Linked DNA regions of Anolis sagrei. The protein of the gene in region 1 interacts with the protein of each later gene in a pairwise test. Links are inferred from orthologs where the notes say so. Each region holds a gene or a part of one and is shown on either strand. Other genes may lie near its edges. The genes, in order: RBSN and EHD1.

Region 1 (15,780 bases):
GATAGATAGATAGATAGATAGATAGAGAGAGAGAGAGAGAGATAATGATTCTCACACACAGATATAGTATCATAGATTTGAAATGGACCCCTAAAGAAGGACTATGATATGTTGCATGTTCCAGAGTAGGCAAACCAGACACTCTCCACATCAACACTGACAAAGAAACAACAAAAAATACTGTTTACCCACAAGCATTGCTTTATTTTCCAGATCACTACACTGGGCCACAGCAACGCGTGACAGGGGATGGCTAGTAAATAAATAAATAAATAAATAAATAAATAAATAAATAGTATTCCACTTTAATGACCATACTGCATCCCATGGGATTCTGGAGTTTGTAGTTTAGTGAGGTCCAAGAGCTCCCTGGGTGAGAATTCTAAATACTTCTTCCTAAACTGTAACTTCTGGGATTCTGTAGGATGTTGGCCTGGAAGTTAAAATAGACTAATAGTGCTATAAAGGTGTAGTCTGATAAGGATTTTACTCTATAAAAGCTTCTGCAACCAACTTTGCTCTCTTAATTAATTGCCATCCACAGTTGTTAAAAATCAACAACAGTCATTCATATATTAATTTAGTTTCAGAAGACATACTCAATTTCATGCTGAAATTCTTTCACTGAAGCACTCTGAAACTGCTAGTTTGGGTCGGGCGAAAGAACACTTTGTTAAAACAACGTGCGCTTGATAGAAAACCTGGGTGAATTTACATAGAACATTGTTCTTATTCAGTGACTCATGTCATGGATGAACATTTTGTACTGCTTACAATACATTTTAATAGCAGTATTCAGCTCCTTTGGGAAAGTGACATCTACTCCTTCGGAATATATATACTTTATTTACTCCTCCTCACTCATAAGTATCCCTTATGCAGTTAAATTCCCAAAGGTATGACTACACAAGGATAGCACTGCAGAATGCTGAACTACTCCATTGTGTAACAGATGGTTTCAACTTATTACTGCAGTCCCATTGTTGGAGAACCAAAAAGGATGTTACTTTTATTGTACTGTTGGAAGTTGCACCTAGGTTAAGTAGGGTGTGTGGGGCGGGGGAAGACCACTTTAATAATACGTGAACTTGTTCTACATTTCATATGAATAGCTGGGCACTGAGAGATCCCAACCTTGCCCTCTGCAGCTGTGATCCCAACAAAATTCTTGCCCAGAACGCAGGGCAATTGGTACGGGAAGGATACCAATTGCACGGTTACCAATACTGTTAATTGCAGAGTATGTATAGTAATAATGATAATTACAGTATCAAGTGAATCCAGCGCTTTTCTTTTTATCTTGTGCCAAGTTCTAAGATTTGCCTAGAATTTATAGGAATAAATCTAGCACAGTTCGTCCCAACCCCACCTCTTAGATTCAAATCTCATGATTAGTAAACATGAAACCTTATTTTTCAAAACAAATAGCATTTTGATTTAGTCTGGCAATGTTTAGTGGCCTCAGCTACAATCTGGCTGTTTATTTCGGAAGTACCCAACGACACAATTGTATGAGCCAAAGCAAAATTATGACCCTTTTTAAAACAACACTGCTTCCATATTGCTTTTGTTGCTGAATCTTATAAACTATTTTTCTTTACAAGTGCAACCTGCAACAAACTGTTTCACTGTGGAGTGCTTCCATCCACTTTTCAAGCAGCTAAGCTCTCTTTTCTATCTCACTGCCTCATTGTTTCCATCTATTTCCCTCCAATAGGCAAGTCAGTGTTTTATGCCCATCAAAAGTGCTCCAACTTCACTTGGCTCCTTGAGATTCCTCCCTTCACAATGGTTTCCTTCAACAAAGATAGTAATAATATTCATCATCATCATCATCTTTATTTATGCCCCGCCACCATCTCCCTGAGGGGGACTCAGGGCAGCTAACATGAGGCCAAGCTCAAAGATACAACATAGTAAAATAAAATAAATATGCAAACAACAAAAATCATGTCACAATAAAATACATACAATAGCAAAATAAAGTAAACAAAGCAAAATAACATAATATAAAATTGAACACAGATATGTTGATGCTTCTGCATATTTTTGTTGTACCCTCCAGAGAGGATACATTTCAAGATGATCCAACGATACCTGAAATAATGGGTAATAGTGAACCCAATATTTTGATTATACCATACAGTCACAATAGAAGATATTGCTGTTGTTTATTTGTTCGCTTCTGACTCTTCGTGACCTCATGGACCAGCCCATGCGAGAGTTCTCTGTCGGCTGTGGCCGCCCCCAGTTCCTTCAGAGTCAAGCCAGTCACTTCAAGGATACCATCCATCCCTCCATCCATCTTGTCCTTGGTCAGCCCCTCTTCCTTTTTCCTTCAATTTTCCATTTTCATTGTCTTCTTCAAGCTTTCCTGTCTTCTCATTATGTGGCCAAAATACTCCATCTTTGCCTCCAATACTCTTCCCTCCAGTGAGTGGTTGGGCTTTATTTCCTGGAGTACAGACTGGTTTGATCTTCTTGCAGTCCAAGGTATTCTCAGAATTTTCCTCAAGCGCCACAGTTCAAAAACGTCTATCTTCCTTTGCTCACTCTTCCTTATTATGGTCCAGCTTTCGCATCCATAGGTTACTACAGGGAATACCATTGCTTTAGCTATGCAGATCTTGGTTGCCAGTGTGATGTCTCTACTCTTCACTATTTTATCGAGATTGGTCATTGCTCTCCTCCCAGTAGTAAACATGTATTTTTTGGAGCACGGATAAGTGACTGTGGCTATTGAATCGGTGGATAAAGAGTTTGTGCTGTATATGAATGCACCACTTCATAAAATTATCACAAGGCATTTCCAGGGATCCATTTCTGAAATGTTAGGTGAATTGATCCAGAATAATACCATCGGCATCCTGTCCATGAGGTTCTACTAGTTCAGATCGACCCAATCCAAGGCATAGACCAGAAAAATAAAAAAGGTTTATTTGCGTGACACAATGAAGGCAGCAAAGCTTTGTCCCATAACCAGGCCTGAAGCCAGATGGAAGTGAATCTAGACAGTGTGGTCTCCAAATTGTAGTCCTTCCAGGTGTTTTGGACTTCCAACTCCCAGAAGCTTCTGCTGCCTTGACCAATGGAGAGGGATTCTGGGAGATGAAGTCCAAAACACCAGGAAGACCAGAGTTGATAGATAATATGTTTCATGCAGGAACCCTGGAGCTGATAGTCAACAACGCACTCCAGGGCCATGTCCCAAAAAAGAATAATGGGAATTGGTTGGCAGTTATTCAGTGCCATGACTCTTATTTCAGTAATGGCCTCAACACAGCCTTTTTTAAAGCAGGAGGGAACACTGCCTTTATTCCAGTAGCCCTCCTTCTATATGTCATCAGAGCACTCAGTAATTGTACTAGACAAATTATTAGACGATATTGTTTGTGAGTAATCACTAAAGATGAGACTTTTGCTTCAAAAGTACTTATTCCTTTTGGTGAATGTGATACTATTTAAAAAGAAAAAGAAGCTAGTGTACCTTTGGGGACAAAGCAGAAATGGCAATTATGTACACAATAAACGTTTCAAATAGCCATACAATATCTAATATCTAAAGCAGAAGTTCTTAATGGCATCATTATGCCATTTATTTATCTGGTTATAATAACAATTTGCTCTTAGCCTTGCACTTTTAATATTAAGGAAAAGAACAATGTTTTTTTTAAAAACAATTAGGCCATATTCAGATTAGTCACAGGGGAAATTAAGGTCCCTTCCACACAGCTGAATAAAATCTCACATGATTTGCTTTGAACTGGAATATATGGCAGTGTGGACTCAGGTAACCCAATTCAAAGCAGATATTGTGGGGTTTTCTGCCTTTATATTCTGGGATATAGGACTGTGTGGATGGGCCCCGGGAATGGACTTCAGTAAGATCTATTCTCATTCCCCCAACTGTAGTCAAAACAATCTCCCCTATACAATTGTCCCTCCAGATCTGTGGATTGGACTTTGGCAGATTTGATTACAATAAGGCCCCTTCCACCCAGCTGAATAAAATCCCACATTTTCTGCTTTGAACTGGAATATACGGCAGTGTGGACTCAGATAACCCAGTTCAAAGCAGATATGGTGGAATTCTCTGACCTGGTATTCTGGGTTATATGCCTGTGTGGAAGGGCCATATGTAACATGATAAGTGCTCCTGGGCTGTGCATGTCATTTCCTAATTGATTATATCATAAAAACATGGAAAAGGTTTATTAAACTGCAAAAACTTTGTTTGAGAGCAGTGGTTCTCAACCTTCCTAATGCTGTGACCCCTTAATACAGTTCCTCATGTTGTGGTGATCCCCAACCATAACATTATTTTCATTGCTACTTTATAACTGTAATTTTGCTACTGTTATGAACTGCAATGTAAATATCTGACATGCAGCATGTATTTTCATATACTGGACCAAATTTGGCACAAATACCCGATACACCCAAATTTGAATACTGATGGGGTTGGAGAGTGGGGATTGATTTTGTCATTTGGTAGTTGTAGTTGCTGGGATTTATAGTTAACCTAAAATCAAAGAGCATTCTGAACTCTACCAATGATGGAATTGAACCAGTCTTGGCACTCAGAACTCCCATGACCAACAGAAAATACTGGAAGGGGTTGGTGGGCAATGACCTTGAGTTTTGGAGTTGTAGTTCACCTACATCCAGAGAGCACTGTGAATTCAAACAATGATGGATCTGGACCAAACTTGGCACAAATACTCAATATATCCAAACATGAACACTAGTGGAGTTTGGGAAAAGTAGACCTTGACATTTGGGAGTTGCAGTTGCTGGGATATATAGTTCATCTACAATCAAAGAGCATTCTGAACCTTTTCGATTAAATTGGGCCAAACTTCTCACACAGAACCCTCATGCCTTGAAGGACTCGCTGGAGCAAGCCTCCTTCCAGCCTCACACACTCTCCCTCACCTGCACATGCACACCATACTGCCATGCGCCAAGCACACCTGCTCTCCCCTCCCCACTTGGAGTCTCAGAAACAGCCCTCCCCTTGGCTGAGAGGCTGGCCAATAACAGTGGAAGAGGGCTTTTGGTGGAAGGATTTGCTGTGTGTTTCCAAAAAGAAAGAGAAGGACAGGTGGAGAGATCTTCAGCCTTCTCTGCCAAAGGAGTTCCTAAGACCATCAGAAATATATGTTTTCTGATGGTCTTTGGCAACCCCTCTGAAACCCCCTCAAGACCCCCAGGTGTCTTAACCCCCAGGTTGAGAAATGCTGTTTTAGAGAGACATCCTGTAGCACATTTTGCTATCGTTTTTCAATGAATATCTCATCGAGTCTCAACCAATTCAACAGATTGTGGCAACGACACAATTTCTGGAATATAATAACTACTTTCAAAGTAAGTACAGCATAATTAAATAGGAAATAACACTTTCAAACCTGGCAGTTAAAGCAATGGTATTTCCTGTAGTAACCTATGGATGTGAGAGCTGGACCATACGGAAGGCTGAGTGAAGGAAGATAGATGCTTTTGAACTGTGCTGTTGGAGGAAAGTTCTGAGAGTGCCTTGGACCTTGAGATGATCGAACCAGTCCATGCTTCAGGAAATAAAGCCCGACTGCTCATTGGAGGGAAGGATATTAGAGGCAAAGATGAAGTACTTTGGTCACATAATGAGAAGACAGGAAAGCTTAGAGAAGACAATGGTGCTGGGGAAAATGGAAGGAAAAAGGAAGAGGGGCCAACCAAGGGCAAGATGGATGGATGGCATCCTTGAAGTGACTGGAAGGAGCTGGGGGTGGTGACGGCCGACAGGGAGCTCTGGCGTGGGCTGGTCCATGAGGTCACAAAGAGTCAGAAGCGACTGAACGAATGAACAACAAACCTGGAACAGATTTTTTTTTCCAAATTCTGTTACATAGTGTTATTCATGACTTTTCTTAAAATGATTTTTTTAGAAAACGCTAGGTCCTCTAGTGTGATTCTATAGCCAACTTCTCTAGAGGCCCTTCCACACAGCCCTATATCCCAGAATGTCAAGGCAGAAAATCCCACATTATCTGAATGTGGACTCAGATAACTCAGTTTAAAGCAGATGTTGTGGGATTTCTGCCTTGATATTGTAGGATATAGGGCTAGTAGAAAGGCCGTGGGTCCTCCAGCATGACTCTATGGACAACTTCCACACTTTTATGGACAACACTTTTATGGACAAGGCACTCTCAGAACACATGTAGTCTATAAAAAAAACCTATAAACACAGATAGCACACATTACACCTGGCTGCTGTGTTGTAACTTAGGGCGCTTCCACAGAGCCATATAACTCAGAATATCAAGGCAGATAATCCACAATATTTGCTTTGAACTGGATTATCTGAGTCCACACTGCCATATAATCCAGTTCAATGTGGATTTTATATAGCTGTGTGGAAGGGGGCAACAGGTTTCAGGTTTGAATCCAGGAAGAGCATGGATGAGCTCCCCCTATCAGCTCCAGCTCCTCATGTGGGGACATGAGAGAAGCCTCCCATAAGGATGGTAAAGCATTAAAAAACCCCAAAATAAAACCAAAAAACCCCCAACCAAACAAAAAAAAATCTGGCCATCCCCTGGGCAAATCCTTGCAGATGGCCAGTTCTTTCACACCAGAAGAGACTTGCAGTTTCTCAGGTCGCTCCTGACACAACAAAAATAAATAAATAAAACAGATGATGATTATGACCTAAGTTTTCATATGAGCCTATGAAAATAAAAGAGCTATCCACCTACAATATTATAATGTGCCCAGGAATACTGGTCTCTACAAAGCTTTAAAAGTACTTATTGCATATATTTAGATTGAAGAACCTACTGTGAGATGCACAAAATACTTGTAAAATAACCACTACTTTCTATTTTTCATAAAAAGGGAAAGAAAAGTGGGGGGACAAACTGGGTAACAAAATTTGGAAAAACAAATTCTGAGAAATGGGGAATATTAAAAGCATCTGGAAAAGTAGGACTGCAGTGGTTTAAATGGGCCTGCCTTTGCAGGGGAAGGAATACATCCCACCCTGGGAGCGGCTTAAGGAGCTCGGCATGAATTTGGAGCGGAAGTGTCAACAAACTAGTCCAGTGTGGGCTAGGCAAAACTACGGTGAGGTGGATCTGTAATTGGTAAAATGGACGAACTCAGAGGGTGCTCACCAATGCTTCCTCTTCATCCTGGAAAGAAGTGACGAGCGGAGTGCCGCAGGGTTCCGTCCTGGGCCCGGTCCTGTTCAACATCTTTATTAATGACTTAGATGAAGGGTTAGAAGGCAGGATCATCAAGTTTGCAGACGACACCAAATTGGGAGGGATAGCCAATACTCCAGAGGACAGGAGCAGGATTCAAAACGACCTTGACACATTAGAGAGATGGGCCAAAACTAACAAAATGAAGTTCAACAGGGACAAATGCAAGATACTCCACTTTGGCAGGAAAAACGAAATGCAAAGATACAGAATGTGGGACAATGCCTGGCTCGAGAGCAGTACGTGTGAAAAAGGTCTTGGAGTCCTCGTGGACAACAAGTTAAACATGAGCCAGCAATGTGATGTGGCGGCAAAAAAAGCCAATGGGATTTTGGCCTGCATCAATAGGAGCATAGTGTCTAGATCCAGGGAAGTAATGCTACCCCTCTATTCTGCTTTGGTTAGACCACACTTGGAATATTGTGTCCAATTCTGGGCACCACAATTCAAGAGAGATATTGACAAGCTGGAATGTGTCCAGAGGAGGGTGACTAAAATGATCAAGGGTCTGGAGAACAAGCCCTATGAGGAGCGGCTTAAGGAGCTGGGCATATTTAGCCTGAAGAAGAGAAGGCTGAGAGGGGATATGATAGCCATGTATAAATATGTGAGAGGAAGCCACAGAGAGGAGGGAGCAAGCTTTGTTTTCTGCTTCCTTGGAGAGGAGGACGCGGAACAATGGCTTCAAACTACAAGAAAGGAAATTCCACCTGAACATGAGGAAGAACTTCCTGACTGTGAGAGCCGTTCAGCAGTGGAACTCTCTGCAGTGGAACTCTCTGCCCCGGAGTGTGGTGGAGGCTCCCCCCAAAATGGGCCTTTTTGGGGGAGAAGGAGGTCCCCACTTCAGGTTGGGAAGGAGAGCTGGAGACACAAGGATGTCTTCCAGACCCAAATCTTGTATCAGGCATGGGCCAACTTGGGCCTTCCAGGTGTTTTGGACTTCAACTCCCACCATTCCTGACAGCCTCAGCTTTTAAACAGAGGCTGGATGGCCATCTGTCGGGGGTGCTTTGAATGCAATATTCCTGCTTCTTGGCAGAATGGGGTTGGACTGGATGGCCCATGAGGTCTCTTCCAACTCTTTGATTCTATGATCCCCTCTTCCGCCTTTTGCCGCCTTGCTTCCCATCGATTGCTCGGCCCTCGCCGCCAGTCCCTGTAGCCCCGCCCCTTAATCTCAGTCGTCTTCAGCCGCGACCCCGCCCCCTACCGCTCTCTTGCGCGCGCACCCGCTCGCTGCCATCGGCGCTCGACTGGCGGCGCCTGCTGCTGCTGCTGCTGCTCCTTGCAGTTGAGGAGGGCCTCAAGTGGGGCCTGGCGCCTCGGGTCCGTCGGGGCGGGCCTCGCTGGCTTTCTTCAGTGCCGCCGCCCCTTCCTTCCTCCCTCCCTCCTTCCCTCCTTCAGGTGAGGGCCGCCTCCTCCGTGGCGCTTTGGTTTTCAGGGGGTGAAGGCATTTCCATTTGGGGGGGGGGGGGAGCAGCAGCAGAGAGTCTATTGATAACTACATCAAGGAGGCCTTTTTAGAGAAGGAGTGGTTGATGGTATTCCAGGCAGACCTATATAATCCCTATGGAAAGGCATTGCATAGATCAGGAAGGCCAAAATGGGCCTTTTGGGGGGGGGGGGGGAAGGTTGGGAAGGAGAGCTGGAGACACAAGGATGCCTTCCAGACCTAAAACATGTATCAGGCATGGGCCAACTTGGGCCTTCCAGGTGTTTTGGACTTATGCGGCTGAGGGGGAAAAGGAAAAGGCCTGAGGCTGTCAGGAATGGTGGGAGTTGGAGTCCAAAACATCTGGAAGGCCCAAGTTGGCCCACACCTGAAATATATCCTCTCCCCTTTCACCCCAAACCCTGTTAAGTGTTAGTTTTTAATGCATTCCCAATGTACCTTGGTTTGTATTTGAATGATGCGTGCGTCTTTGTCTGTTTTCAGTGTAAAAAGGAACCCCGTAGCACTTTGGAAAGCAAATCTACAAAAGCACTTTGGAAAAGCAAGTCTGTTTTGTAAGGTCTCTGACAGAGGACTGGGCAAAAAGTATGATAGCTGGGACCCTACGTATAGCTGGAACCCATATGCTGGTTGCGCAATGTGCGTCAGAATTAATGAAGGGAAGACCGAGGAAGGTTTTTACAAGGCCCTAGTGCAGGGGTCCTCAAACTTTTTAAACAGAGGACCAGGTCACAGTTCCTCAAATTGTTGGAGGACCGGATTATAATTTGAAAAAAACATGAATGAATTTCTATGCACACTGCACATATCTTATTTGTAGTGCAAAAATACACTTTAAAACAATACAATAATTATAATGAAGAACAATTTTAACAAATACAAACTTATTAGTATTTCAATGGGAAGTGTGGGCCTGCTTTTGAGATAGGATTGTTGTTATTGTGTGCTTTCAGGTAATTTCAGACTTAGGTGGACCCTGAGCGAGGGCCAGGTAAATTACCTCGGAGAGCTGCATCTGGCCCCCGGGCCTTAGTTTGAGGACCCCTGCCCTAGTGCGAACAGATCGGAAGGAACAGGACCCCCCCCCCCTTCCCCTAGAATCATAGAATCAAAGAGTTGGAAGAGAACTCATGGGCCATCCATTCCAAACCCCCTGCCAAGAAGCAGGAATACTGCATTCAAATTACCCCTGACAGATGGCCATCCAGCCTCTGTTTAAAAGCTTCCAAAGAAGGAGCCTCCACCACACTCCGGGGCAGAGAGTTCCACTGCTGAACGACTCTCACAGTCAGGAAGTTCTTCCTCATATTCAGATGGAATCTCCTCTCTTGTAGTTTGAAGCCATTGTTCCACGTCCTAGTCTCCAAGGAGGCAGAATACAAGCTTGCTCCCTCCTCCCTGTGGCTTCCTCTCACATATTTATACATGGCTATCATATCTCCTCTCAGCCTTCTCTTCTTCAGACTAAACATGCCCAGCTCCTTAAGCCACTTCTCATAGGGCTTGTTCTCTTCTTCTTATGCTTTCTGTCGCCTGCTTTCTGACACTGGAGGAGCCAGGGCTTCATGAAGGCAGGGAAAGCACATCTACACATTATCGAATGAATGCCATTTCACCCCACTTTACCTGCAAGGTTTTGCAAGATCTCTGACAGAGGACTGGGCAAAAGTATGATATCTGGGACCCATATGCTGGTTGTGCAATGCGCGTCAGAATTAATGAAGGGAAGTCTGCTTGGACTGCTCCCAACTCGAAGGGCGAAAAGTGTGCTGGCGACTGGGGAAGGTTTTTACAAGTGGATTCCCCCCTTCCCCTCTTCTTGTGCTTTCCCCCGCCCACTTTCTGACAGTGGAGGAGCTGGGGCTCCGGGAGGGCAGGACGTGTGATCCGTAGACCCCTCCTCTTCCCTCCCTTGCAGCTGCGCCTCTCGCTGTCTCATGCATGTGTTCCCTTCATGAATTCTGACCCGCAGTGCACAACGAGCGTAGGGTCCTAGCTATCATACTTTTGCCGAGGACTGGTGCCATGCCAAATTGCGATCCCCACAAAGAATCTCCTGACAACAAGAGCTGCTTAACAGTGGAAGTATCTGTCAAAGAGTGCTGGTGCCTAATCACATGCAGCTCCTCTATTTCTGTAGCGATTATTCATGCCAGTTAAAGGGGTGTCAAACTGCATTAATTCTACAGTATAGAGCATGGTGTCTTTGCTTCGTGCATCTGATGAAGTGGACTAGAGGGCAAATTTGTTTTAGTGGGCGAACCTCAGATTACCTCTACACCAGGCATGGGCAAACTTTGGCCCTCCAGGTGTTTTGGGCTTCAGCTCTCACATTTCCTAACAGCCAGTTGGCTGTTGAAGACTTTCATAGCTGGAATCACTTAGCTGTTGTGAGTTTTTTTGGGCTGTATGACCATGTTCCAGAAGCATTCTCTCCTGAAGTTTCACTCACATCTGGACAGCTAATAACTCCCAACAAAGCATTCCCCCAGACAGGAAGCAGCCAGGCTTTGTGGCTGCAAGGCTGTTCAATTCCAATCAAGGTCACCAATTGCAACATTCACACCTGCCTCAAGCAGACAAGGGTTCGTTCTCCCACCCTGGACATATATAAATAAATCCCATTTGCCTAGTTCCCAACAGACCTCACAACCTCTGAGGATGCCTGCCCTAGATGTGGGCAAAATGCAGGAGAGAATGCTTCTGGAACATGGCCATACAGCACAGAAAACACACAGCATCCCAGCCACTCAGTTGTTAGGAATTGTGGGAGTTGAAGTTCAGAACACCCGGAGGGCCGAAGTTTGCCCATGCCTGGTGTAGAGGTACTCTGAAGCTGCATAAGCTCTCATGCCCTCCAGTCCACTACATCAAGTGCATGAAGCAAAATCATACCTATGGTTGGAAGGAGAATGTGAATTAGAATAGAAATAGAGCCGCTTTGAGTCCCCTTCAGGGAAGATAAAGCAGAGTATAAATATAATAATAATAATAATAATAATAATAATAATAATAATAATAATATAAATGCAAGGCATGTCAGCTGGATGGCAGATATCTCAATGATAGCACAAATACACAAATATTGGTATCGTATTCAAGCCATATGCAATCCTCACCTTCCCACCCTTTTCATTCACAGGATGTATATGTATGCCTTCTTTGAACAGTCCCGTCGATAATATCTTTATTACGTGAATTTAAAAGGCACTGAAATCTGTGCACGTTTTCTAGACCCACCACACCCCTTTCTTGATGCAACAATAACAATAATTAGGTTATGGAAGAGGAAGCAGTTTGGATTTTCATGGAAAATGAGTTGACCTTAAAGACATATCACTTTTCATGTCATACTCAAATGTTACAGGGGGAAGCAACTGCAGGCTTTTAGATCAGGGATTTATTTTACAGCTTGAATGGTGAATTGGCTCTTTCTTGCTCTGTCTTTGTAATTGAGATTAGATATGAGAGTTATGTGTTTCAAAAGAAAGGCCTGATAGATCAGAAATAGTTTCCACTCTGCTGAAGACTGAAACAAGAAAATCATTCCCCACTCCTGCCCAGCCTTTAGGGCAGTGGTTCTCAACCTGTGGGTCCCCAGGCATTTTGGCCTACAACTCCCAGAAATCCCAGCCAGTTTATCAGCTGTTAGGATTTCTGGGAGTTGAAGGCCAAAACATCTGGGGACCCACAGGTTGAGAACCACTGCTTTAGGGGGAGATAGCACCTATCCCATTTCTCTCTGTTATGCACATGTGGAGGAATCTTATCTGAACAAAAAAGGGAGGTAACCTGCATTTGCTGTTGCCCAAACCTGTTTGTGTAGTGTGGCCTCAATTCTCCCTCTTTACCTGCTAAATTAGATATGTACTCCATTCTAACCAGACAGGAATGAAGTTGAAGTGGTTGCCCATTTGGGTGATAAAATGGTTTGCATAATTTTCTATGGCAAACGGAAAGACACATTTCTTACATTTTCCTGTGGGTCATTTCAGAAAGAAGGGCAATATAGCCATTAGATGGTTGGGTTTGAACATTCCTCTTGCTTGATTTTTTTTTTACTTAAAGGTGATAAAACCTATTCTTCCACCTTGTCTCCATTTGATCAGAGATGTATCAAGAAAAGCAAAGAGAAGAACTCTGCTTTCTTTAGTAATTGTTAAAACCATTTTGTGAGGGGTTGCCTAATAGAATATGAGTATGTCAAAAGCTGTGAGTATGCAGTGATTTGTGTATTGGGCAGAAAGTTTCCTCTGCAGAAAGCTGTGATGATGCAAGAGGCAAAGGCTATGGTAGCAGTTACTATTTAGGGTGTAACAGCTATTGTCTTTAAAACGTCAAAAGACTTGTCCTGTTACAATTGTATTAAACTACTGAATTGGCACCCCAGCTTGATGCTTGGTTCTATCAAAATGCATATTGCTTGTAAAACCCCCCCCCCCCTTCGAATTAATCACTTAGACCAGAGTTTCCCAAACTGCCCCCCCCCCCCAATGTTTTTGTGCTCCCACACTTACAGCTGGTAAGGTGGCCGGGATTTCTGGGAGCTGAAGTCCAAAACACCTGGAGGAGCACAGTTTGAGAAACACTGACCTAAGCTATATTTTACACCCTAAATCTCACTATTACTAATTGGAAACAGAATATTTATCTTATACATTTTCAATATGCATTAAACGTAAAGATGCATAGTTTACAAATATGTAGAACCATATATTTCAGCTCATAATAGCCTGTTTTGCAGAAATAAAGACCTTAAGGATATTGCCATTTCTTCAGGTATCTTGAAAACGAAATGAAATGTGTTTAGGATAGCAAGAAAAAATTGATTGAGATGGTGATGTGTAGGAGTACTCTTTTTTTCTAGACTGATTTTTCTGAAATTTAGAGAATTGTAGTGAAATTTGTGACTTCTTCTAGGGCTATAGTAAGTCATATCAGTAGTAATCTGCACGTCATCATGGATATGCTGTAATCCATGGCAGCTTTTACAGTTTTTATTTTGCTTGTAAAAAGACTACTCTTTATAAGAGGAATATGTTAAATAAATAGTATAATTGAATGGATTTCTGACATAAGGAGAAATGCCCAAATTGGAAATATTAGGATGAGTCAAGGCTTAGCCACGCTTGGAAAAGACCCACTGATATCTACATGTCTTAAATTTGACTTACATCTGATTTCAACAAGTTTGCTTTAGGCATGATTGATCTGGAATCTCACCTATTGTGCATATGGGTGGGTTTGTGACATAAACAGTTATAAATTTATAAAGTAGGAGAAGCTAAAATAGTCAAATATTGTGCAAGGACAATTTTGTAAAGCACAACTAACACTTTCTTCTTGTCTGGTCAGCTGCACATTTATTTCTCTCATTTCTGCTACAGTTACAGATCTGCCCCACCCTAACGTATTTGTTTTTCTTGTATAGCCAGTTGCCTAACTGGAGTAGATCAAATATGTTGAATGTTTACTAGACAAGGTTAAAGGCCCAGCTCATCCTAGGAATGTTTGCTGGATGCGTCTTCATTTATCCACGTATGTCTATTTTAAATAGCTTTTCTGTTTTTATCTTTTACACAATTCTTGTGGATTGTTTCATACTAGCCCTGCAAGTTGTATCATATGCACATTCTCTTGAAAGCAATAAGCCACTTGCACATTCAATAAATTTCTCTGTAAACATATTAATGGGACACTACCTGAGCTCCACTAAGGGTTACACTTTTTCTACAAGGTTTAGTAAAGTTTTAAAATATCCATAAAAAGGTTTTTTTTGTTGGTAATTAATTTGAAACCATGCAGTTGTTCCAGCATAGTAACATAATACTACTGGAGATAATGGTTTAAAGGATTAATCTGAGCAAAATAGTTTATCCTGTTTTTAAAACTTATATCTGGATCTCTTTCAGGACAATCTTTTGTACAAATTGAAAAGGCAAAGAGCCTTTTTCCTCATTATTAGTCCAAATTCATGGTCATCCTGCTGCATGGCATACTGTTGCTCCCCTGCTACTGAGATCTGGAGAGTGTCATTGACCTTGGCATTCTTGGACCACTATGGCATCAAGCTACACACCTCCATTTGATGACCCTGGCGAGGTGAGAGAAGGCTTTCTGTGTCCTCTGTGTCTGAAGGACCTGCAGTCATTTTATCAACTTCAGTCTCATTATGAAGAAGAACATTCTATCGAAGACAAAGATGTGAAAGGACAACTCAAAAGTAAGAAATGCTATAGCTGTCCTGATTTTTCAGGAGTAAATATGGGACAGTGTTCGATATTTATGACTTGTTGTCATATGAAATAACTATGCATTGTGCAACAATAGGGTGGAAGCCATAATTTCTATGTTTTATACAATTATCAGTTAGAAAAATGTCTTCTGTATAATGGAAAGGAAAATATCATTTGCACAAAGTTGAAAATAGTTAACAAATACAACAGTTGTCATTTACCTCTGATGGGTCTTGGTACAACTGTTAGATTATATTGTATTGTATTATATTATTTATTGCACTTATATATCGCTTTTCTCACCCCTAGGGGGACTCAGAGCGGTTCCCAACATAATCACATGCCTTACATGTATAAAACAACAATGACAATAGATTTAAACTTTTATAATGATACTAGCTGTGCCCTGCCACGCGTTGCTGTGGCCTATAGTAAAACTTATCAAAGTTGAGGTAGATATCTGGACTATTATGAAAGAGAGGTACCTACCTATTCCTTCCCCCTTTTCCTCCCCCTTTCTCTCCTTTCTTCCTTCTCTACCTCTTTCTTTCTTTCACTACTTGGTTTCATCCTTCTCTCTTTCCTTCATTCCCTCCCCCTTTCTTCCTTTGCCTTTCTTCCCTCCCTGTTTGCTTCCTTCTTTCACTTTTTATTTCCTTTTATTTTACCACCATCATAACAATAACAATAATGCAATGCATTGCCTCTGGGACCTGACACCTCTCCCATTCCTCCAGGGTCTCATAGGAACAATAGCATAATAATAATAATAATAATAATAATAATAATAATAATAATAATAATAGAAATAACAACCTTTACCCGCCACGTGTTGCTGTGG
Region 2 (16,260 bases), on another chromosome or scaffold:
GAAAAGAAAGAAAGAAAGAAAGAAAGAAAGGGAGGGAGGGAGGAAAGGAAGGAAGGAAGGAAAAGAAAGAAAGAAAGAAAGAATGAAAGAGGAAGGGAGGGAGGGAGGGAGGTAGGGAAGGAAGGAAGGAGGGAGGGAAGAATGGAATAGAAGAAAGAAAGAAAGAACGAAAGAGGAAGGAAGGAAGAAAGTAAAGAAAAGAAAGAAAGGGAGGGAGGAAGTAAAGGAATGAACGAACGAAAGAAAGAAAGAAAGGGAGGGAGGGAGGGAGGAAAGAAAGAAAGATAGAAAGGGAGGGACAGAGGGAGGAAGGAAGGAAAGAAAAGAAAAGAAAGAAATAAAGAAAGGGAGGGAGGGAGGGAGGGAGGAAAGAAAAGAAAGAAAGAAAAGGGAGGGAGGAAGGAAAGGAAAGGAAAGAAAGAAAGAATGAAAGAAAGAGAGGGAGGGAGGAAAGAAGGAAAGAAACGAACGAAAGAAAGAAAGAAAGAAAGAAAGAAAGAAAGAGAGGGAGGGAGGGAGGGAGGAAAGGAAAGAAAGAGAGAAAGAAAGGACCAAAGGTGGGAGGAGAGTGGGAAACCGGGACGTTTTAAGAGTGTCTTGGGAAAGTGGGACGGCGGAGGATGACTAGAGAGGATTCCTGGTCTGGGCGAGTGGGCCAAGGGGCTGGGATCCGCTGGCCCGGCCTTGCGTTGAACTTTGAGTCCGTGCGCAGCTTATCAAATATTTGCTGCCGGGGAATCATTAACTTCCCAAAGGAAGGCCGGCAGGATGTTGTCCCTTCTCCCTCGGGCCTTTCTTGGGGTTCAACTCTGACTGGAAGGGCCCGGCTTCAAGGTGAGCTCCTTCCGCTCCTCTTCGCCCCTCGATTCCTTGGCTTGGATCCTCTCTATGGTGTGTCTGCACTATAGAGTTAACCCAGTTTTGTATCACTTGAACCACCATGAGTGTGGAATCGTAGGGAGACTGCCAAACAACCCCCCTCCTAGGGTTCCATACCAGCGAGCCTTTGCATTGAAAGTAGCGTCAAACTGGGTTAACTCCACAGTGTAGATGGGAAATATTGCTAAGCTAGGATTTGATTATTGTTTGTTTGTTTGTTTATTGTATCAGGTGTGCTTGCTTCATCTTTTCATTACTGGCTGCTACTTCCCGACGGATATCAGGTAGAGTAGCAAAGCGCAAGGGCAGATGCCGTAACTGTGTCTGGTTGTGAACCCCAGGTTGTGCTAGTCAGCTTTCCTACGATATTATTTCTAGCACCCACTTTTTGCTTTGTATTCAAGCAGTGCTTCTTGTCAATCAATCAATCGAAAATAGTTTATTGTACGGGCCCAAGGACATGACAAAAAGCACCACATGCGCACATTAGTACCCTCGGAGAAACAAGCACCTAAAATGCTAAACAGAAACCATTTCAAAGCTCCCTTCTTGGGTGGTGATGACACGATCGTCAGCATAGATGGATTAGGAATCAGCTGGTTTCCCCTGTAATAGGCAGTAAGAGAACATAAAACTTCGGAGAGCTTCTGCTCAACCATTTCAAAACTCCCTTCTTGGGTGGTGATGGCATGATCGTCAGCACAGATGGTGATGGCACAATCATCAGCGTAGATGGATGAGGAATCAGCTGGTTTCCCCTGTAATACGCAGAAAGAGAACATAAAACTTCGGAGAGCTTCTGTTCAACCATTTCAAAGCTCCCTGCTTGGGTTGTGATAGCACTATCGTCAGCATAGATGGATTAGGAATCGGCTAGTGTTCCCTGTAATAGGCAGTAAGAGCACCCAAAGCTTCAGAGAGCTTCTGTTCAACTATTTCAAAACTCCCTTCTTGGGTGGTGATGGCATGATCGTCAGCATAGACAGATTAGGAATCAGCTGGTTTTCCCTGTAATAGGCAGTAAGAACACCTAAAGCTTCGGAGAGCTTCTGTTCGACCATTTCAAAGCTCCCCACTTGAGTGGTGATGGCACGATCGTCAGCATAGATGGTGATGGAATGATTGTTGTGGCATGAGTGGTGATGGCACGATCGTCGGCATAGATGGATTAGGAATCAGCTGGTTTCCCCTGTAATAGGCAGTAAGAGCACCTAAAGCTACAGAGAGCTTTGGTTCAACCATTTCAAAGCTCCCTTCTTGGGTGGTGATGGCGCGATCGTCAGCATAGATGGTGATGGCACGACCATTTCAAAGCTCCCTGCTTGGGTGGTGATGACAGGATCATCAGCGTAGATGGATGAGGAATCAGCTGGTTTCCCTTGTAATAGGCAGTAAGATCGCCTAAAGCTACAGAGAGCTTTGGTTCAACCATTTCAAAGCTCCCTTCTTGGGTGGTGATGGCACGATCGTCAGCATAGATGGTGATGGCACGATCATCGTGGCATGAGTGGTGATGGCATGATCGTCAGCATAGATGAATTAGGAATTAGCAGGTTTTTCTCTCTCATAGGCAGTAAGAGCACCTAAAGCTTCAGAGAGCTTCTGTTCAACCATCTCAAACCTCCCTTCTTGGGTGGTGATGGCACGATCGTCAGCATAGATGGATTAGGAATCAGCTGGTTTCCCCTGTAATAGGCAGTAAGACCACCTAAAGCTTCAGAGAGCATCTGTTTGCCCACTTCAAAGCTCCTTCTTGGGTGGTGATGGCATGATCGTCTGCGTAGATGGATTAGGAATCAGCTGGTTTCCCCTGTAATAGGCAGTAAGACCACCTAAAGCTTCAGAGAGCATCTGTTTGCCCACTTCAAAGCTCCTTCTTGGGTGGTGATGGCATGATCGTCTGCATAGATGGATTAGGAATCAGCTGGTTTCCCCTGTAATAGGCAGTAAGACCACCTAAAGCTTCAGAGAGCATCTGTTTGCCCACTTCAAAGCTCCTTCTTGGGTGGTGATGGCATGATCGTCTGCGTAGATGGATTAGGAATCAGCTGGTTTCCCCTGTAATAGGCAGTAAGACCACCTAAAGCTTCAGAGAGCATCTGTTTGCCCACTTCAAAGCTCCTTCTTGGGTGGTGATGGCATGATCGTCTGCGTAGATGGATTAGGAATCAGCTGGTTTCCCCTGTAATAGGCAGTAAGACCACCTAAAGCTTCAGAGAGCATCTGTTTGCCCACTTCAAAGCTCCTTCTTGGGTGGTGATGGCATGATCGTCTGCATAGATGGATTAGGAATCAGCTGGTTTCCCCTGTAATAGGCAGTAAGACCACCTAAAGCTTCAGAGAGCATCTGTTTGCCCACTTCAAAGCTCCTTCTTGGGTGGTGATGGCATGATCGTCTGCGTAGATGGATTAGGAATCAGCTGGTTTCCCCTGTAATAGGCAGTAAGACCACCTAAAGCTTCAGAGAGCATCTGTTTGCCCACTTCAAAGCTCCTTCTTGGGTGGTGATGGCATGATCGTCTGCATAGATGGATTAGGAATCAGCTGGTTTCCCCTGTAATAGGCAGTAAGACCACCTAAAGCTTCAGAGAGCATCTGTTTGCCCACTTCAAAGCTCCTTCTTGGGTGGTGATGGCATGATCGTCTGCGTAGATGGATTAGGAATCAGCTGGTTTCCCCTGTAATAGGCAGTAAGACCACCTAAAGCTTCAGAGAGCATCTGTTTGCCCACTTCAAAGCTCCTTCTTGGGTGGTGATGGCATGATCGTCTGCATAGATGGATTAGGAATCAGCTGGTTTCCCCTGTAATAGGCAGTAAGACCACCTAAAGCTTCAGAGAGCATCTGTTTGCCCACTTCAAAGCTCCTTCTTGGGTGGTGATGGCATGATCGTCTGCGTAGATGGATTAGGAATCAGCTGGTTTCCCCTGTAATAAGCAGTAAGACCACCTAAAGCTTCGGTGAGCTTCTTTTCAGCCATTTCAAAGCTCCCTGCTTGAGCGGTGATGGCATGATCGTCTGATATTTTCACAAATCCCGATGACATCTAGACATTTGATGATCCAACAATGGGGAAGTGAGTCAAATACTTTATTATTATTATTATTATTATTATTATTATTATTATTATTATTAATATTTGAAACACAGCAAGATGAGTCCACAGCAGACAAGATCACTCTACAGGCTGTTGTTATTATTATTATGATTATCATTAGCATCCTTGTTGTTGTTGTTGTTGTTGTTGTTGTTGTGAACGTCTTCTCCAGGTCATGAATGCCACCAACACGTATGGTGCTCATCGGCTGTAACAGCAACTCCATATGGAAGCAGTCTGGCCATTCCAGTGGAGGGGCTGTTATAGTAGGTGGGTGCTGCAAAGGATTCTGGGAGATCAAGACCACCCAAGGTGCTTTGAATCCATCAGACATACATGTGAGCATCATGTGCAGGTTGGTGTATTTCCAATGGCAGCATCAATAAGCATGTTGCTTGCTTGCTATAGCGGGTATTCACCACCAGGTGGCGGGCTTGGGCAGTGTTTTGCTTTGAGGTCCATTCTGATTATAATATAATATAATATAATATAATGGAATATAATATAATATAATGGAATATAATATAATATAATATAATATAATATAATATAATATAATATAATATAACATAATATAATATAATGCAATATAATATTATATAATGTAATATAATATAATGCAATATAATATAATATAATGCAATATAATGCAATATAATATAATATAATATAATATAATGCAATATAATATAATAATATAATATAATATAATATAATGCAATATAATATAATATAATATAATATAATGCAATATAATATAATATAATATAATATAATGCAATATAATATAATATAATATAATATGCAATATAATGTAATATAATATAATATAATGCAATATAATATAATATAATATAATGCAATATAATACAATATAATACAATATAATATAATATAATATAATATAATATAATATAATGGAATATAATGCAATATAATGCAATATAATGCAATATAATATAATGCAATATAATATAATATAATATAATATAATGCAATATAATATAATATAATATAATGCAATATAATGTAATATAATATAATGCAATATAATATAATATAATATTGTGCATACATATAATATTTATAACATTATAATAAATAAATAACAGTAATAAATAAATATAATACTACTAATAATATGTTGTATATCCATATAATATTTATAATATTATAATGCAATACAATATAATAATAATATGATATTATAATTATATATATTTTATATTGCATGTAATATTGCTAATAATATCACAATATAATGGTATAGTAAAATATAGTGATATATAATACAGATATTATACTATGCTAATAATATAATATAATATACAATTTAGTGATATATACTACTGATATTGTACTATGCCAATATTATAATTTAATATAATATAAAATATAGCAATATATAATATTGATATTGTTCTATGTTATTAATATATAATATACAATTTAGTGATATATAACACTGATATTGTACTATGCTTATAATATAATATAGTATAATATATTGTATATCCATATAATATTTATAATATTATAATGCAATACAACATAATAATAATATGATATTATACTTATATATATTTATATTGCATGTAATATTACTAATAATATTACAATATAATGGTATAGTAAAATATAATGATATATAATGCTGATATTATTCTATGCCAATAATATAATATAATATAATATAATATAATGACATAGGCAGGGCTCTTAGATATGTGTACACTGGGATGTCTTTGGTGGAGGAAACACATACAATCTAGGATGGAATTGTCCCCGAATGAAAGCCTTCATGTGGGTGGTGGGCAGTGTGGTGTTGGTGGAGGACATTGGCAGGGCTCTTGGATATGTTTACACTGGGGTGTCTGCGGTGGAGGAAACACATACAATCTAGGATTGAATTGTCCCTGAATGAAAGCCTTCCCTTGGGTGGTGGGGAGTGTGGCGTTGGTGGAGGACATTGACAGGGCTCTTGGACATGCTTACACTGGGATGTCTGTGGTGGAGGAAACACATACAATCTAGGATGGAATTGTCCCTGTATGAAAGCCTTTCCTTGGGTGGTGTACAGGATGGTGTTGGTGGAGGACATTGGCAGGGCTCTTGGACATGTTTACACTGGGATGTCTGCGGTGGAGGAAACACATACAATCTAGGATGGAATTGTCTCCATATGAAAGCCTTCACTTGGGTGATGGGCAGTGTGGTGTTGGTGGAGGACATTGGCAGGGCTGTTGGACATGTTTACACTGGGATGTCTGTGGTGGAGGAAACACATGCAATCTAGGATGGAATTGTCCCCAAATGGAAGCCTTCCCTTTGGTGGTGGGCCATGTGGTGTTGGTGGAGGACATTGGCAGGGCTCTTGGACATGTTTACACTGGGGTGTCTGTGGTGGAGGAAACACATACAATCTAGTATGAAATTATCCCCGAATGAAAGCCTTTACTTAAGTGGTGGGCAGTGTGGTGTTGGTGGAGGACATTGGCAGGGCTCTTGGACATGTTTACACTGGGATGTCTGTGGTGGAGGAAACACATATAATCTAGGATGGAATTGTGCCCAAATGAAAGCCTTTACTTAAGTGGTGGGAAGTATGGTGTTGGTGGAGGACATTGGCAGGGCTCTTGGACATGTTTACACTGTGATGTCTGTGGTGGAGGAAACACATATAATCTAGGATGGAATTGTGCCCAAATGAAAGCCTTTACTTAAGTGGTGGGAAGTATGGTGTTGGTGGAGGACATTGGCAGGGCTGTTGGACATGTTTACACTGGGATGTCTGTGGTGGAGGAAACACATACATATTTTCACATATTATTATTATTATATATTATTCTATATAATATAATAATATATGATAAAATAAATAAAATAATAATATTTATAATATAGAATATATATTTATAATATATAATGAGATAATTTTTGTTTCCTCGCAGAGTCGTCTGTCATGGGACTTTTTGGGGCCGAGAAAGTGTCACCCTTGCTATCTGAGAAGAATGGCCCTCTTTGATGCAAACCAACTCATATGACTTCAGGCTGTAGAGAGACGTTGTTTACAAAGCTGTCATTGTGAGATTTCGGCCTTAGCAGCAAAAAGGGGAAATATAGTGCTATCACTAAAGTAACGAGAGGAAAAAGAGTATTTCCAATATGGGTTTAATATTGGAAATACTATTGGAAAGAGTGTAGGAAGCACCCACACGCTTGCATTAATGCGGTTTTGCCACCACTTTAACTGCCATAAGATCTTGGGATGTGTAGCTTTGTTATTTTGACCTTTATTATGATTATTTTATTTATTTACTTATTTAAAAAGGGAATATTTAATTTATTATTATTATTATTATTTTTTAATTATCAAAATAATTTATTATTTTTACCTTTATCATTATTTATTTATTTATGTTAAAATTAATTATTATTTTTACCTTTATTATTATTATTATTATTAATTTATTTATTTATAAAAAAGGATTTTTAATTATTTTAATTATTTTTATTATGATTTATATTTAATTATCAAAAGAATTTATTTTTTACCTTTATTTGTTTATTTATTTATAAAAAGAATTCATTATTTTTACCTTTATTTTTATTTATTTATAAAAAGAATTCATTATTTCTACCTTTATTATTATTATTATTTATTAATTAAAAGTATTCCTTATTTTTACCTTTATTTATTATTATTTTTATTAAAAGAATTTATTATTTTTACCTTTGTTGTTATTATTTATTTATTTATTTAAAAGCATTTATTATATTTACCATTATTATTATTGGGTTATTGTAGGTTTTTCCGGGCTATATGGCCATGTTCTGGAGGCAATTCAAGAAGAATTCGTTACTTTTGTCTTTATTATTATTTATTTATAAAAATAAATTATTATTTTACCATTATTATTATTATTATTTTATGTATAAAAAGAATTCATTATTTTTACCATTATTATTATTAATTTATGTATAAAAAGAATTCATTACTTTTACCTTTAACATTATTTATTTATTTATAATAAAGAATTTATTCTATTTACTTTTATTATTATTTATTTATAAAAAGAATTTATTATTTTTTACCTTTATCATTATTGATTTATTTATAAGAAGAATTCATTATATTTACCATTATTATTATTATTATTATTTATTAAAAGAATTTATTTACTTTTATTATTTATTTATAAAAAGAATTGATTATTTTTACCTTTATTGTTATATATTTATTAATTAAAAGAATTCATTAAATTTACCATTATTATTATTATTATTTAATTATTTTTATTATTTATTTATTTACAAAAAGAATGGATTATTTTTTTACCTTTATCATTATTAATTTATTTATAAAAATGTCATTAGTTGTAGTAGTGATATCGAGCTCTTTTGGGAGGGTCTTCCCAGCAGGGAAGATCCCTGGAGATCGCAAAAGGGATCTTTGACCTTGGTGAGCTGCCAGCAAAAGCCAATCCAAAGCGCAAAAATATTAAGAATTAATCCCACCAGAGGCTGAAGAGGTATCCAGTGACTGAAGCGTTTATTTTGCGATTCAGCTGAAAAGGATGCATTACAGGGATATTTCCTCTATAAGCATACAGTACAGTGAATTTCAGGCATATTTATACAGGCAAAACAAAGAAATCCCGGTTTGAATCCCCCGCCCGCCTCCTGTCAGTTCCCTCTGTCCTGATTGGCCGGCCCCGGAACAGCTGGGAGGAGGCTTGGTTGCTGGTCCCACCCTCCCTCCAATCGCCGGCCGCTGTTGCCTCCAGAGGACCAATCAGAGCCCTCGGAGCGCCTCCGGAGATTGTCCAATCAGCGGCCAGGAGGCGGGCTCTAGTTTGACAGCGCAGAGGGGCGGAATGCCTGGGAGGCGTCTGCCAGCTGATGGAACACCTTTTGTCTCTTCCCGGCAGGGAGGCGGATGGGGAGAACAAGGGATTTCCTGGGTCCTGATAAAAGATGTGTATAGGCAAAAAGGGTGGCTATGGGTGGTGTCTGGATCTCAACCCTGTAGGCAAAGGAAATCCTTTGACACAAGGGAGCATACACAAGCACCATGATTGATTTAATCAGTCTGTTTTTCCGGGCTTTTGGCTGACAAAATCTCTGGCCCTTGTTTGTCTGACTCTGAAAAACAAAGCCATAGATTTGCCAGCATTTGTCCATGCATTGTCAGTATGGATGGAGTTTCTTCCAAGGAAATTGGATTTCCTTAACTGTAATCCCCAGGTCACATATTCTTTTATAGGGTAAAGTTCAAGAGGGGGAAGGCAAGGAGAGGGGTGAGGGTACATCTTATTTCATTTCACCTCATTACATATCATATACTTCATATATATATTCTTCACAGTCTTTCATAACTCATAGATTTCATAGGAAAGATCCCCATCCCAGCGAAGTTTATTAGAAAACCCACAGCAATTAATAAAGGCAATCAGCAGAGTTCCTGAGGTATGATCCTTTGCAACAAGGGCATGCACCCACAGGCGGGGGCCATACTTCAGAAGCGGCTTGGCTTTTGGAGTTCAGGGAGGAAGTCCGTGATGCTAGGGCATTAAGTCAATCAGTGAGGGCAGAAAGGTTCGCAAAGAGTCCGCAAATGGTGGAGAGTGGGGCAATGTCCTTTGGAGAACTACATTTCCCTGATCAGGGGCCAGGGTCCAGTGCACAAGCCAGAGAATTCACAGAGAGGAAACAGGAACCCAGTTATGTGCGCTGGGTCAGGAAGCAGCAGAATCCATTTTCCGGCCCTTGGCGAACTTCAAATACTTGGGGGGGGGGGGGGGGAGATGCTCTGCATCAGTAGTAGTAGTAGTAATTATTATTATTATTATTATTATTAATTATGATTATTATTATTAGTTGTAGTAGTAATTCTGGGAGTTGGAAGTCCAAAACACCTCTTAGTTGTAGTAGTAGTAGTAATTATTATTATTAATTATTATTATTAATTATGATGATGATGATGATTAGTAGTAGTAATTCTGGGAGTTGGAAGTCCAAAACACCTCTTAGTTGTAGTAGTAGTAGTAATTATTATTATTAATTATTATTATTATTATTATTAGTAGTAGTAATTCTGGGAGTTGGAAGTCCAAAACACCTCTTAGTTGTAGTAGTAGTAGTAATTATTATTATTAATTATTATTATTATTATTAGTAGTAGTAGTAATTCTGGGAGTTGGAAGTCCAAAACACCTCTTAGTTGTAGTAGTAGTAGTAATTATTATTATTATTATTTATTATTATTAATTATGATGATTATTATTAGTAGTAGTAATTCTGGGAGTTGGAAGTCCAAAACACCTCTTAGTTGTAGTAGTAGTAGTAATTATTATTATTAATTATTATTATGATTATTAATTATGATGATGATTATTAGTTGTAGTAGTCATTCTGGGAGTTGGAAGTCCAAAACACCTCTCATGCGAAGAAGGGAAGGAAATTCTCAAGGTTCTAGAACCCCGGTTCTAGAACCCGGCCCTGTTCACAAAGAAGCCGGGTTCCGGCTCAACCGCTGATGCTGAAAGAACACATGAAGGAGCCGAAATGGACGAAGGGACCTCAGGTGACCCTCCGAATTTGTGTGTTTCAGTAGGAATTCAATGGGGTGAACTACCGATTCCAATAATACTCATTCTATTCCAATAATAAGCCGGAAATGAAAGGGGAAGCCTCTACCTTTGTGTATTTACATGTTATTGTTATTCCACTGTCTCCAAGGCATTGAAAGTTTGCCTTTCTGTGTATATTCTTGGATTATCAAGTGTCTAGATGTCATCGGGGTTTGTGAAAATATTAGAAAAAGCCAGTCAAGGCTTGAATACAGCGGAATAGCGATGATATGACAAATACACAAAGGTAAAGGCTTCCCCTTTCATTTCCGGCGTGCTGAAGGCAGTGCTCAACTCTGGCCAGGAGGAGGCGCTCGCGTTCCATTTCCAAGCCAAGGAGCCTGTTGTCTGTAGACACCTCTTGGCCCAGGCCTCCCTTAGAAGTTACTTTTTTCAGACCTCCAGCCCTTGGAAGTTACTTTTTAGGACCCCCCCCATTCCTTTGGAAGTTACTTTTTTCAGACCTCCAGCCCTTGGAAGTTACTTTTTAGGACCCCCCCCATTCCCTTGGAAGTTACTTTTTTGTACCCCCATTCCCTTGGAAGTTACTTTTTAGGACCACCCATTCCCTTGGAAGTTACTTTTTAGGATCCCCCCATTCCCTTGGGAATTACTTTTTAGGACCCCCCATTCTCTTGGAAGTTACTTTTTAGGACCCCCCCATTCCCTTGGAAGTTACTTTTTAGGACCACCCCCATTCCCTTGGAAGTTACTTTTTAGGACCCCCCATTCCCTTGGAAGTTACTTTTTAGGACCCCCCCCCATTCCCTTGGAAGTTACATTTTAGGACCCCCATTCCATTGGAAGTTACTTTTTAGGACCCCCCATTCCATTGGAACTTACTTTTTAGGACCCCCCCCATTCCATTGGAAGTTACTTTTTAGGACCCCCCCATTCCCTTGGAAGTTACTTTTTAGGACCCCCCCATTCCCTTGGAAGTTACTTTTTAGGACCCCCATTCCATTGGAAGTTACTTTTTAGGATCCCCCCATTCCCTTGGAAGTTACTTTTTAGGACCCCCCCATTCCCTTGGAAGTTACTTTTTAGGACCCCCCATTCCATTGGAACTTACTTTTTAGGACCCCCCCATTCCATTGGAAGTTACTTTTTAGGACCCCCCCCCCATTCCCTTGGAAGTTACATTTTAGGATCCCCCCTTTCCATGGAAGTTCATTTTTTTTAGACCTCCAGCCCTTTGAAGTTACTTTTCAGGACTCCCATCCCATGAAAGTTATTTTTAGGGCCCCGTCCCCCCATCCCATGAAAGTTACTTCCTTTAGACCTCCGGCCCATGGAAGTTACTTTTTTTAGACATCCAGCCCTTGGAAGTTACTTTTTAGGACTCCTATTCCATGGAAGTTACTTTTTAGGATCCCCCCATTCCATGAAAGTTCCTTTTTTTTAGACCTCCAGCCCTTGGAAGTTACTTTTTAGGACTCCTATCCCATGGAAGTTGCTTTTTAGGACCTCCTTCCATCCCATGAAAGTTACTTTTTTAGACCTCCATCCCTTGGAAGTTACTTTTCAGGACTCCCATCCCATGAAAGTTACTTTGCTTAGACCTCCAGCACTTGGAAATTACTTTTTAGGACTCCCATCCCATAAAAGTTACTTTTTTACACCTCCATCCCTTGGAAGTTGCTTTTTAGGACCTCCCATCTAATGAAAATTACTTTTTAAAGATCTCCAGCCCTTGGAAGTTACTTTTTAGGAACCCCTTCTCTTGGAAACTCCTTTTTTCAGACCCTCCAGTCCTTGGATATTAATTTTTAGGACTCCTATCCAATGGAAGTTACTTTTTAGGACCCCCTTCCATCCCTCGAAAGTTACTTTTTTCGATCTCCAGCCCTTGGAAGTTACTTTTTAGGTCTCCTGTCCCATGGAAGTTACTTTTTATGACCACCCATCCATTAAAGTTACTTTGTTTAGACCTCCATCCCTTGGAAGTTACTTTTTAGGACTCCTATCCCATAAAAGTTACTTTTTTTAGGACCCCCATCCCATAAAAATTACTTTTTAAGACCTCCAGCCCTTGGAAGTTACTTTTTAGGACTCCTATCCCATGGAAGTTACTTTTTGGCACCCCCCCTTACATCCCTTGGGCGGGAAGAATGACGTCAGAGAAGTGGGCGGGGATTGTACAATTAATGGGCGGGGCTTTGACAAATGTTGAGGAGAAGGGGAGCCAATCAGCAGCCGGTTTTAGCAAAGGGGCGGGAAGAATGACGTCAGAGAAGTGGGCGTGGACTTGCATGTCCGAGCAGTGGGCGGGGTTTTTAAAAATGCTAAAATCAATGGCGGGGCTTTGAAGAATGTTGAAGAGACGGGGAGCCAATCAGCAGCCGGTTATAGCAAAGGGGCGGGAAGAATGACGTCAAGAAGTGGGCGGGGACTTGCATGTCAGATTAAAAATGTAGATAAATGGGCGTGGCTTTGAAGAACATAGAGGAGAAGGGGAGCCAATCAGCAGCCGGTTGTAGCAAAGGGGCGGGAAGAATGACGTCAGAGTAGTGGGCGGGGATTTTAAAATCCCTTGGAAGTTACTTTTTAGGACCCCCTCGTTCCATGAAAGTTACTTTGTTTAGACCTCCATCCTTTGGAAGTTACTTTTTAGGACCCCCCCATCCCATAAAAGTTACTTTTTAAAGACCTCCTCCCTTGGAAGTTACTTTTTAAGACTCCCATCTCATGAAAGTTATTTTTAGGACCCCCATCCCATAAAAGTTACTTTTTAAAGACCTCCATCCCTTAGAAGTTACTTTTTTTAGACCTCCATCCCCTGGAAGTTACTTTTTAGGACTCCCATCCCATGAAAGTTCCTTTTTATGACCCCCTTCCATCCCATGAAAGTTCCTTTTTTAGACCTCCAGCCCTTGGAAGTTACTTTTTAGGTCTTCTATCTCCCATGTAACTTCCATCCCTTGGGCGGGAGGAATGACGTCAGAGAAGTGGGCGGGGATTTTAAAAATGTAGATAAATGGGCGTGGCTTTGAAGAACATAGAAGAGAAGGGGAGCCAATCAGCAGCCGGTTTTAGCAAAGGGGCGGGAAGAATGACGTCAGAACAGTGGGCGGGGACTTTCATGCTTGAAGTCAGAGCAGTGAGTAAGGATTCAAAAATGCTGGATCAAGGGGCGGGGCTTTGACTGCTGTGGAGAAATGGGCGGGGACAGAACGTTGAGGAGAGGGGGGAGCCAATCAGCATAGGGGGGCGTGGCCGCTATAAAAGGCAGGTCCCTCGGCGGCGTGCGTCCAGTGAGGCGTGAGGCGCCGCGGGCGGAGGAGCTCCGGCGAGTGAGTGAGTGAGACAGTGGTGTTATTTCCTTCCCTCAGTGGGGGGCTCGACGATGTTCAGCTGGGTGAGCCGGGACGCGCGCCGTCGCAAGGAGCCGGAGCTGTTCCGCACGGTGTCGGAGGGTCTGCGGCAGCTGTACGCGGGGAAGCTGCTCCCGCTGGAGGAGCAGTACCGCTTCCACGAGTTCCACTCCCCGGCGCTGGAGGGCGCGGACTGGGAGAGCAAGCCGATGGTGCTGCTGGTGGGCCAGTACTCCACCGGGAAGACCACCTTCATCCGCCACCTGCTCGAGCAGGACTTCCCCGGCATGCGCATCGGGCCCGAGCCCACCACAGACTCCTTCATCGCCGTCATGGGCGGGGAGGCCGAGGGCGTCGTGCCCGGGAACGCCCTCGTCGTCGACCCCCGGCGCCCCTTCCGCAAGCTCGGCGCCTTCGGGAACGCCTTCCTCAACAGGTGAGACTCCCACAAGGCTTGGGCCTGCTCTTCAATGTTTTGGACTTCAACTCCCACAAGGCCTAGCGGGCCAGGACCCTTCCAGAGGAAGGGTCCTGGGCCGCTAGGCCTTGTGGGAGTTGAAGTCCAAAACACCTCGAAGGCCCAAGTTGGCCCAGGCCTCCCTTGGAAGTCACTTTTTTCAGACCTCCATGCCTTAGAAGTTACTTTTTAGGGCCCCCATCTCTTGGAAGTTACTTTTTTAGATCTCCATCCCTTAGAAGGTACTTTTTAAGACCTCTATCCCTTGGAAGTTACTTTTTTAGACCCCCATCCCTTGGAAGTTACTATTTTAGACCTCCAGCCCTTAAAGTTACTTTTTAGGAACCCCATCTCTTGGAAGTTACTTTTTATAGACCTCCTATCCCTTGGAAGTTACTTTTATCAGACTTCCAGCTCTTGGAAATTACTTTTTAGGAACTCCACCCTTGGAAGTTACTTTTTATAGACCTCCTATCCCTTGGAAGTTACTTTTTTCAGACCTCCATCTCTTAGAAGTTACTTTTTAGGGCCCCCATCTCTTGGAAGTTACTTTTTTAGATCTCCATCCCTTAGAAGTTACTTTTTAGGACCCCACATCCCTTGGAAGTTACTTTTTAGGAACCCCACCTCTTGGAAGTTTACTCTTTTCAGACTCCAGCAATTGGAAGTTTACTTTTTTCAGACCTAAATCCTTTAGAAGTTACTTTTTAGGAACACCATCTCTTGGAAGTTACTTTTTAGGACTCCTATCCTATGGAAGTTTTTTAGGCCTCTCCCCTTGCATATTACTTTTTAGGACCCCCATACCATTGAACTCCATCCCTTAGGAGTTACTTTTTCAGAACCCCATCCCTTGGAAGCTCCTCTTTTTGGACCCCCATCCCTTAGAAGTTACTTTTTTTCAGAACTCCATCCTTTAGAAGTTACTTTTTCAGAACCCCATCCCTTGGAATCTACTTTTTTCAGACCTCCAGCCTATGGGAGATACTTTTATCAGACTTCCAGCTCTTGGAAGTTACTTTTTTCAGACCTCCATCTCTTAGAAGTTACTTTTTAGGGCCCCCATCTCTTGGAAGTTACTTTTTATAGACCACCTATCCCTTGGAAGTTACTTTTTTAGACCTCCAGCCCTTAGAAGTTACTTTTTCAGACCTCCATCTCTTAGAAGCTACTTTTTAAGACTTCCATCCCTTAGAAGTTACTTTTTAGGACTCCCCCCCCCCCCCCCAATTCCTTGGAATCTACTTTTTTTAGATCTCCAGCCCATGGGAGATATTTTTATCAGACTTCCAGCTCTTGGAAGTTACTTTTTAAAGACCTTCAGCCCTTGGAAGTTACTTTTTAGGACTCCTATCCCTTGGAAGTTACTTTTTTTAGACCTTCAGCCCTTGGAAGTTCCTTTTTTCAGACCTCCAGCCCATGGGAGATACTTTTACCAGACTTCCAGCTCTTGAAAGTTACTTTTTAGGACTCCCATCCCATGAAAGTTACTTTTTTTAGACCTCCAGCCCTTGGAAGTTAGTTTTTATGAACCCCCCCCCCCCCCGTCCCATGAAAGTTACTTTTTTAAGACCTCCAGCCCTTGGAAGTTAGTTTTTATGACCCCCCCATCCCATGGAAGTTACTTTTTTCATACTTCCAGCCCTTGGAAATTACTCTTTAGGACTCCTATCCCATGGAAGTTACTTTTTTAAAACCTTCAGCCCTTGGAAGTTACTTTTTAAGACTCCTATCCCATGGAAATTACTTTTTAGGACCTCCCCCCCATACCATGGAAGTTACTTTGTTTAGACGTCCAGCCCTCAGAAGTTACTTTTTATGATTCCTATCCCATGGAAGTTATTTTTAGGACCCCCATCCCTTGGAAGTTACTTTTTAGGAC

Evidence for each region.
Region 2: the proteins of RBSN (region 1) and EHD1 interact in binary tests that used the Homo sapiens proteins (3 or more experiments, as listed by UniProt). The link is inferred for Anolis sagrei from reciprocal best matches to the Homo sapiens genes RBSN and EHD1.

The regions. Positions count from the first base shown.
Region 1 is NC_090022.1:50,745,344-50,761,123, forward strand, and holds the start of RBSN (rabenosyn-5), read left to right. Parts: upstream 1-8,493; 5' UTR 8,494-8,654; intron 8,655-14,615; 5' UTR 14,616-14,763; coding exon 14,764-14,926; intron 14,927-15,780. UniProt on the Homo sapiens protein: Rab4/Rab5 effector protein acting in early endocytic membrane fusion and membrane trafficking of recycling endosomes. Required for endosome fusion either homotypically or with clathrin coated vesicles.
Region 2 is NC_090032.1:20,358,006-20,374,265, forward strand, and holds the start of EHD1 (EH domain-containing protein 1), read left to right. Parts: upstream 1-10,356; 5' UTR 10,357-10,542; coding exon 10,543-10,561; intron 10,562-13,939; coding exon 13,940-14,357; intron 14,358-16,260. UniProt on the Homo sapiens protein: ATP- and membrane-binding protein that controls membrane reorganization/tubulation upon ATP hydrolysis. In vitro causes vesiculation of endocytic membranes. Acts in early endocytic membrane fusion and membrane trafficking of recycling endosomes.